Saccharomyces cerevisiae S288C: one gene and its partner. The protein of the gene in region 1 binds, or shares a complex with, the protein of each later gene. Each region holds a gene or a part of one and is shown in the gene's direction. Other genes may lie near its edges.

Region 1 (3,545 bases):
AACATTAAACAGCGATGCAAACTTGGCCACTTGGTACACCTTATGCGTGATTTGAGAGAGGTTGCGACAGTCCGATACCAATGTCGTGGGGATACAGAGTGAATAATGTCTGGTTTGTGATAGAGGTTTCTCAACCTTTTTGAACTTCCTCGTGCTGCTCATCAAACTAAGTGATACACAGCTTTGTGGTCAGTAGTATATATTCCTGGGACCGGTAGTAGTTGTGAAACAGAGTACTCTCACTTGCCGATCACAGCTCATCGATGGGAAATTTTTCATGTATAAAATAAAGCTTGTTAAAAAATCAGTTCGTTTCGCGTGATAACAAACAGTGCATATTTATGTACCAAGAATCCAAAAAATAAGATATATTTAGTATAGGTAAACGTTATGGAGGTGTCATGTTTCATGGTTCTTTTGTCGTACTATCATCTTCGTCTTCGTCTTCGTCCTTTAGCGCTTCACGGGACTTTTTGTTGAAAATTGCCCTTACGTCGTAATGCTTCTTTCTCATTTCTTCAAATTTCTTATGTCTAGCCTCCGGTGAGTCTTCATCATTCTCGTCGTTGGTCTCAAAATCCGGTTGTTTGTTCTCTTTGATTTCAAATTCCGGTTCGCCCAGGGACAAATCGTCGATGTCATCGTTTGCCACCTGGCATGGTTTTTTATCACTATTATCCTCATCTTCATCATCATCTACTCTGTAGTATTCCCCGTGAGGGTCCACAGCACCTTGGTAGGGGGTCTTGGGCTCGTCTATGTGAATATCTTGGAACTGCTTTTTTGTTATTTCATTTTCTGCTAAATTTCTTTGGTTCCATTGAACTCGCTCTTCTGGTGTCATCTTGGCCAACATGTCTTGCTCATGTTTCAGTGACAGTGTGTCCTTTGGAAGGAAGGTACTCGATGTTCCAATTATCTCCCCCTCCTCTTTTGTATTATCTAGTCCCGGTATATTCCTTTTATGTGATGTCAATTTGGCATTTTTCTGCGTATTTTCGTAAACTTGTCTTCTAAACTCTTCAAGCGTTTCTGGATCCTGTTGCGCCAGCTGCTCCGGCGATAAGGCTAGCGGGTTTTTAAGTATACCTCCCATTATTCTGCTGATGTGCGTTCTTGATGATACGAACTCGTTGTACTGATGAAGCTCTTGGACTTTAAGTTGTAGTGGTGTTCTCAAATTATCCTTTCGGTGGAAGTCATTTCTCCCTAAAAAAGCGTGAGGGCAAAACTTGAAACCGGGTAAGAATATGCGATAGTACCGTTTTGCCTCTAAAGACAGTGCTTCAGAGAAATATTAGCAAGGTGTCGAATCAAGTTATACTAGATAGGAGGATTTCATAATGAATAATGCTTTAAAATGGTTCTCACCTTTATTTTATCATTTTCTTCTTTTCTTCTGCTATTGATTTGGTAGTGTTCGGGTTAATTCATTTTTTTGTTCAATAACAAGAACCAAACATAAAAAAAAATACTTTAAGAATAAACAAGACTGATGAAGCATAGATCATATTATTAGAGCGCGTAAGGTATGTAGAGCACAGATTGGTCCTTCGAGTGTGATTATATAATTTTATATACGCTCCTTAATTTAAAAGCGGCTTAGATAGATTTTTTATACTTTGCTGTTGGAAAATTCCTGCTGAAGCAAAAGAATTTGCAATTCGTTCTTAGCCTTTAACCCCAATTTTAAGGCTGAAGCCGTGGCTTATATCATGGGCTTTGTTTATCCAACTTTTCACATCTATAGTACGCTATCTTTGCATCTCTTAGGCATGAATTGATAGGCGATGAGCAGAATGAAAAATGAAAAAAAAATAAAAGTACTAAATTGAGGCTAGTAGAAGTTAGGCAAAAACCGTCCAGAACCTCCACAAAAATAACTAAATACACATTTATGGGTAGTGTTCAACGACAAGATTTGGTCCTATTCAGCGACCAATCAGTGCTTCCTGCCCACTTTTTCCAAGACAGCAACTCTCATAACTTATTCTTCATCACCCATCAATCCTGTACTCAACCACTATGGATGATAAACGCACTAGTAGAAACGCACGTGTTAGGTTCCCCAAGTTCCCTTAATGAATCTTCTTCATCGATGCTACCTTCGTCAACTCGCTCCCATGCAGTCCTTGCGTCGTTTATCCACGAACAGAACTATTTTACAAATTCATTAAACAAGCTAAAGATCCCATCTAATAACTACAATGTTTTAGACTTCCTGTCCGACTTCATCGTTAATAATATCCATAATAAGCCAAGAGACAAAATACTAAGTGACGTACTCGCAAAGTTCTCCGCTGCTATACAAAATAACCCAACTGACACCATTGTTATCATCGAACAACCAGAATTACTGTTGTCGCTAGTAAGCGGCCTAACTTGTTCAGAATTAAACAATAAGTTCATCACACCTCTTTTGAGGCAATGCAAAGTGCTAATCATTGTTTCCAATTCGGACATATTTAATATAGATGAATACGATGCTTCTGTTCATTCCTCGAATCTGCAAAATTTCTACAAATCTTCCTTTATCAAATCAATGATTAATTTGAACTTGAATCCTCTGAAGACCGGTTTTGCAAAGGACGTAACCGGCTCATTGCACGTTTGCAGGGGCGGCGCACCCATTGCAACTTCAAACACAAGCCTACACGTCGTTGAAAATGAATACCTATATCTGAATGAGAAGGAGTCAACAAAACTATTTTATCGCTAAATAATGATAAGATTATATACGAGGCACATTGATTCTCGTATTATTGTTTTTTCTATGAACTGAATATATTTTTAAGTACAATATCAATGAAAAATATATGCAATCGAGCTCTATCAATAAAAAAAATAAGACAGAAAAAAGTGGAAACGATACTACCTACTCCGTCTTGCTCTTATTATGTCGTCTAATTTAAATTCGACTGCACATCTTGTCTTAATTAAAGCTAGTGCGGGCCATGTACTTCGTTCACCAGATTTTATCCAGTATGGAATGTTGTTTAGTTGACCTTCAATAATCCTTGTTAATGATAGACTTTTCATCCTTGGTACCACAGCAATCTCCGTAGCTGATCTGGGAGTCTTTTCATCAATTATTAGTCTTTTTATTAATGAGCACAACAGGCCTAAATTATCCAATACCTCCATCCTATGTCGAAATTCCATAGTGGCAATATTTTTTAATTTTCTTTCCAGATGATACTTAAATTTAAACGCCAGCGGTTCCATTTCAGTAAAGTTCAACTGCGGTATGCCCAATTCTGGGATTATGTACTCTGCTGAATCGTTGACTGCCGAACTTGGGGGCACAGGGCTCATTAAAGGCTCTGGCTCAAGATCCTCGACAGTTCCTGCCTTTATGGGTGATTGCGAAGAGGATCTCTGTGTTTTTCTTACTGTATTCGCGTTTATAGGAGGCATATTTGGATAATGCTTATAATAGTAATATTTTGACGTTTTTATTTCATGCTTCAAATCATTTACCACCAATGGTGCCAAGTATGGTCTCGCCAAAGAAACAATGAAGTTATTAACATTGAATAGTTCCG
Region 2 (3,753 bases), on another chromosome or scaffold:
AAAACTAGGATGGGCTTCAACTCAGGTGCTGGACTTTGTAGCAGCTTCAAAACGTAGGGGAAGATACCTATTGAAAGTGACAGGTAGACAGCCCACGGGCCTAAATCTAAAAATCTGGATAAAAGTACCAACGCACGTATACGATGCACTTGCGAAAGAAGAACCTGTAAAACGATAGGAAGCTGCTCAGGCGGGTGTCTGACATTTGAAGCATATTTCAACCACAATTCAAAAGCAGTCAAATTTTGTTCAAAAAATCCTGTAAATTGTTGTTGTTGTTGTTGCTGCTGCTGTAATTGTTGCTGTGAGCTTTGCAAAGATATAGATTTTCTTGATTGGAGAGCAGGGTTATTTACTAGAGACATTGTACTTAAATTGGCCACTGCAAATCTCGATTGTGTTTGAATACTTCCGGCTTTCGTATCTTGGGCATTCGACTTAGAGCTGCCACCATTCTGTAAGGTTTCTTGTTGTTGTAGAATCATCTGACTCTCTAAGGCAGTAGCGGGAGGAGCATTTTTCAGATCAATGACTATTTTAGTCAGTACTTCATCCATGGCTAAATCCCAAGATTTCCACATTGGATGTGTGGTTATACTATCTGGTAATTCTGGATCAGATACAGGATGGCAATTGTACCACGGCATTATTCTTTTGGCTAGAAGAAAATTTCTGAAAAGCGCAGCAATCATTAAATCATGTCTGAATAATTTTTTGAAAAGTGGTCGGGGGAGGGATGTCCATGCAATTGTGTCCGTTATAGCTGTAAAAATCCAATTTAGTTCTCCCAACGGCGTTCTCCTATCCGACAACATTCCAGGGATATTGACGTTGGGTATTTTGGACTTGAACGAGTTCTTACTATCACCAAACGGTTGATTTGAAGTACTATTTTCGAAGAAAATTTTATATTTAGAATCTTTTAAGGGTGACTGCATGAGAAAGATACGGATGCTAATCTCTATTGGACAGGTCAAACAACAACTAAACAAATCTGCGGGTAGTTCCGGACTCATAAGTAAAAGTTCATCGGAAGTGCAAGAGGCTAATTGGAAACAATCTTGATAAGCTGAAGTTGGTGATGGCGCGGCAACATCATGATTTCCCTCTTCATCATCTTTAATCCTCTTTTGCACAAACTTCTGAAAGTTGATTAATATATTTTCAGCACTGTTGCAATCATAGACAAATATACATGGCGCACCTAACCAAGTTTGCAGGTCATACAAAGATACCGGAATATATTGTGTATAACCTCTGTTGAAAACCCAAATTTCACCTGATTTTGTAGGCTTAGGCACACCATGTCCGTTGTAGTGGAAAAGTATCCTATCTTCCTTAGAAGTTCTTCTTAGCGAGTTGCAAAACCGTTTGACATCCTCTACACAAGGATCCAAGCTTTGTTTATAGCGTGTTCTCAAAGACAGAGTTTCGTACTGTGCTTGTAAGTTTTTACCAATTTGTTCTATTGCTTTCTTCGAGTCCTGGAAATTCAATGGGTCTACCCATGCTTCAACTCTGGCACAGGGATGTGTCTTCATAACATCAGGGGGATCGACACCTAAATTCAAGCATAATAAAAGGGCCGCACTTACTGTCTTCTGTCGATCTTTCATAATCTTCCAATCGGTAATCGGCTGGTAATAACGATTTACATCTCGTTGTTTATCCTCTTCAGGAATCGGATTTCCATTAGTTTTGTGTCGTTTATCATCAAAGTAGAATATGAAATCATTCGCGAGTGATTGTAAAAGTTGGTCACTTTGGTATTGCTCTTCAAACCCATGTCTCATCACCGTATTGAGTGGCTTTAATGGCTGAGGTCCATAAATCTCCGGCATTATGTATCTTTTACCCTTCTCTGCATGCAATAGGATTCGCTAAATGTAATCAAAGGAATCTACAAACCAAATGCATTCGAAAATAACTTTACAAGTTTTAAAATCCTCTATATACTTATGTAAAGTACTACCTATTGATGATTTATTAAAGTATTTTTGATACTATTAATGCTGCCTTGATTATCATCTCATAGTGCGGGTCACCTTGAAAAATCCAAATATAAGAAGCGATGCCATTATAACCTCTGGAGAATGATAACTTAAGAGCTTTTTAATAGCTCCAACCCAAGCTATTGCTACAGGTAGAACAAGATATAATGGCCAGTTCGTCACATAACCCTGTCATTCTTTTGAAAAGAATCTTATCGCTCACAGAAAGCTCCCCTTTCATTTTGTGCTTAGATTCTATTGCCCAGACCTCATACAAGCTCATCCAAGAATTCGTCCACCAGAGCAAGAGTAAAGGAAATGAGTATCCAATTGTGTACATTTCGTTCGAAACAGTGAATAAACCATCGTACTGTACTCAATTTATTGACGCTACGCAGATGGATTTTGTACATTTAGTGAAACAAATTATATCATATCTACCGGCTGCTACTGCCACACAGGCAAAAAAGCACATGGTCATTATCGATTCATTGAACTATATTTCTACAGAATACATAACAAGGTTTTTGTCTGAGATCGCCTCTCCTCACTGCACGATGGTTGCGACTTATCATAAAGACATCAAAGATGAGAACCGTACGGTAATACCTGATTGGAATAACAATTATCCTGATAAGTTGACTTTACTGCAGTTTATGGCCACTACAATAGTAGATATTGATGTGGTATTAACAGGCACTCTCGATACTGAGGAGGTGAGTGAATTGTTAAACGAATTTAGAATTCCTCGCGGGTTAAATAACGATATATTTCAATTACGACTTGTTAATAAAAGAAAGTCCGGCAGGTCATTGGAATACGACTTCATAGTAAATTCAAACACCCACGAATATGAATTATTATCAACCACTAAGCAAGAAGAGGAGAGCAGTAGTAACGGACTGGAGACACCCGAAATGTTGCAAGGATTAACAACATTCAACCTAGGAACATCCAACAAACAGAAGCTGGCCAAAGATCAAGTCGCATTGCCTTTTCTGGAGGCACAAAGCTTTGGACAAGGGGGTGCTATTGTTTATGAGTACGAAAAGGATGACGATTATGATGAAGAGGATCCATATGAGGATCCCTTTTAAAAAGTAGAAACTGATGGTAAATAGTGAGTGCTTCCAGATTATGTAAACTACGTATACTTCATACACATATCTAGATGCTAGATTGTTAGTCTGTTTTAGTCTTTTTTTTCCCTAGGAACTTTTCCTTTAGCTTTAGCAATTTGTATTTTAAGCCAGATTGCAACGTAATCTTATCGGCCTCTTCGACGGTGACCATTCTCTTCACCATCAAATTGTATAGCATACCGAATATGAGTCCCATGATTGTAGATGTTAGAATGATGACGTTATACGGCATACTAAAATCCGGTGTAGACAGGGATAACAATAGGGTAGAGGTTCTCATTTCATAAAGAGACGATGAGGACTCCAAAGATAGCACGGTGATTACAGCTGCATCGATTTCAAAACCATGGTTTGCATCTGGTGGATACTCGGCAAATTGCAGAAGAGCTTTATCGAATTGATAAGTCATTACAATGTCCGTATTAGCTGGAATTAACATCGTGAACTCCAAGTGGCCAGGTCTTTTTCTATCGGCCGCTTGTAAATAGTATTTATCTAAGATGATATCGTTTTCTTGCAATTGCGGAGAGGTAGTAGAAGTAATTTGAAGAGAGGATAGGTAAACTCTCATGAACCATGGCAATGATTCGAAATAAATCAACTTCACAGGGGTATCATTG

The links.
Region 2: the proteins of ELP6 (region 1) and IKI1 are in contact, whole or in part, in a crystal structure (PDB 4A8J), measured with the Saccharomyces cerevisiae proteins. Residues at the interface, in NP_014043.1 of Saccharomyces cerevisiae: Asn27 (codon at 1,976), Ser28 (codon at 1,979), His29 (codon at 1,982), Phe33 (codon at 1,994), Thr35 (codon at 2,000), Gln37 (codon at 2,006), Ser164 (codon at 2,387), Asn167 (codon at 2,396), Asn168 (codon at 2,399), Lys169 (codon at 2,402), Thr172 (codon at 2,411), Pro173 (codon at 2,414), Leu175 (codon at 2,420), Arg176 (codon at 2,423), Phe190 (codon at 2,465), Asn191 (codon at 2,468), Ser198 (codon at 2,489), Ser202 (codon at 2,501), Gln205 (codon at 2,510), Asn206 (codon at 2,513), Tyr208 (codon at 2,519), Lys209 (codon at 2,522), Ser210 (codon at 2,525), Phe212 (codon at 2,531), Ile213 (codon at 2,534), Lys214 (codon at 2,537), Asn218 (codon at 2,549), Asn220 (codon at 2,555), Asn222 (codon at 2,561), Pro223 (codon at 2,564); in NP_012057.3 of Saccharomyces cerevisiae: Ile31 (codon at 2,249), Thr34 (codon at 2,258), Tyr36 (codon at 2,264), Phe60 (codon at 2,336), Glu61 (codon at 2,339), Thr62 (codon at 2,342), Val63 (codon at 2,345), Asn64 (codon at 2,348), Phe72 (codon at 2,372), Asp74 (codon at 2,378), Thr76 (codon at 2,384), Gln77 (codon at 2,387), Tyr111 (codon at 2,489), His136 (codon at 2,564), Asp138 (codon at 2,570), Ile139 (codon at 2,573), Lys140 (codon at 2,576), Glu142 (codon at 2,582), Leu187 (codon at 2,717), Asn189 (codon at 2,723), Glu190 (codon at 2,726), Phe191 (codon at 2,729), Arg192 (codon at 2,732), Ile193 (codon at 2,735), Pro194 (codon at 2,738), Arg195 (codon at 2,741), Gly196 (codon at 2,744), Leu197 (codon at 2,747), Asn198 (codon at 2,750), Asn199 (codon at 2,753).

The regions. Positions count from the first base shown.
Region 1 is NC_001145.3:896,508-900,052, forward strand, and holds ELP6 (Elongator subunit ELP6), read left to right. Parts: upstream 1-1,897; coding exon 1,898-2,719; downstream 2,720-3,545. Other genes in the region: UPA2 (putative methyltransferase), read right to left, coding at 1-162; PP1-complex regulatory subunit GLC8, read right to left, coding at 407-1,096; TGL3 (bifunctional triglyceride lipase/lysophosphatidylethanolamine acyltransferase), read right to left, coding at 2,872-3,545. UniProt on the Saccharomyces cerevisiae protein: Component of the elongator complex which is required for multiple tRNA modifications, including mcm5U (5-methoxycarbonylmethyl uridine), mcm5s2U (5-methoxycarbonylmethyl-2-thiouridine), and ncm5U (5-carbamoylmethyl uridine).
Region 2 is NC_001140.6:478,832-482,584, forward strand, and holds IKI1 (Elongator subunit IKI1), read left to right. Parts: upstream 1-2,158; coding exon 2,159-3,088; downstream 3,089-3,753. Other genes in the region: ubiquitin-binding TORC1 subunit KOG1, read right to left, coding at 1-1,841; GPI-anchor transamidase subunit GPI16, read right to left, coding at 3,174-3,753. UniProt on the Saccharomyces cerevisiae protein: Component of the elongator complex which is required for multiple tRNA modifications, including mcm5U (5-methoxycarbonylmethyl uridine), mcm5s2U (5-methoxycarbonylmethyl-2-thiouridine), and ncm5U (5-carbamoylmethyl uridine).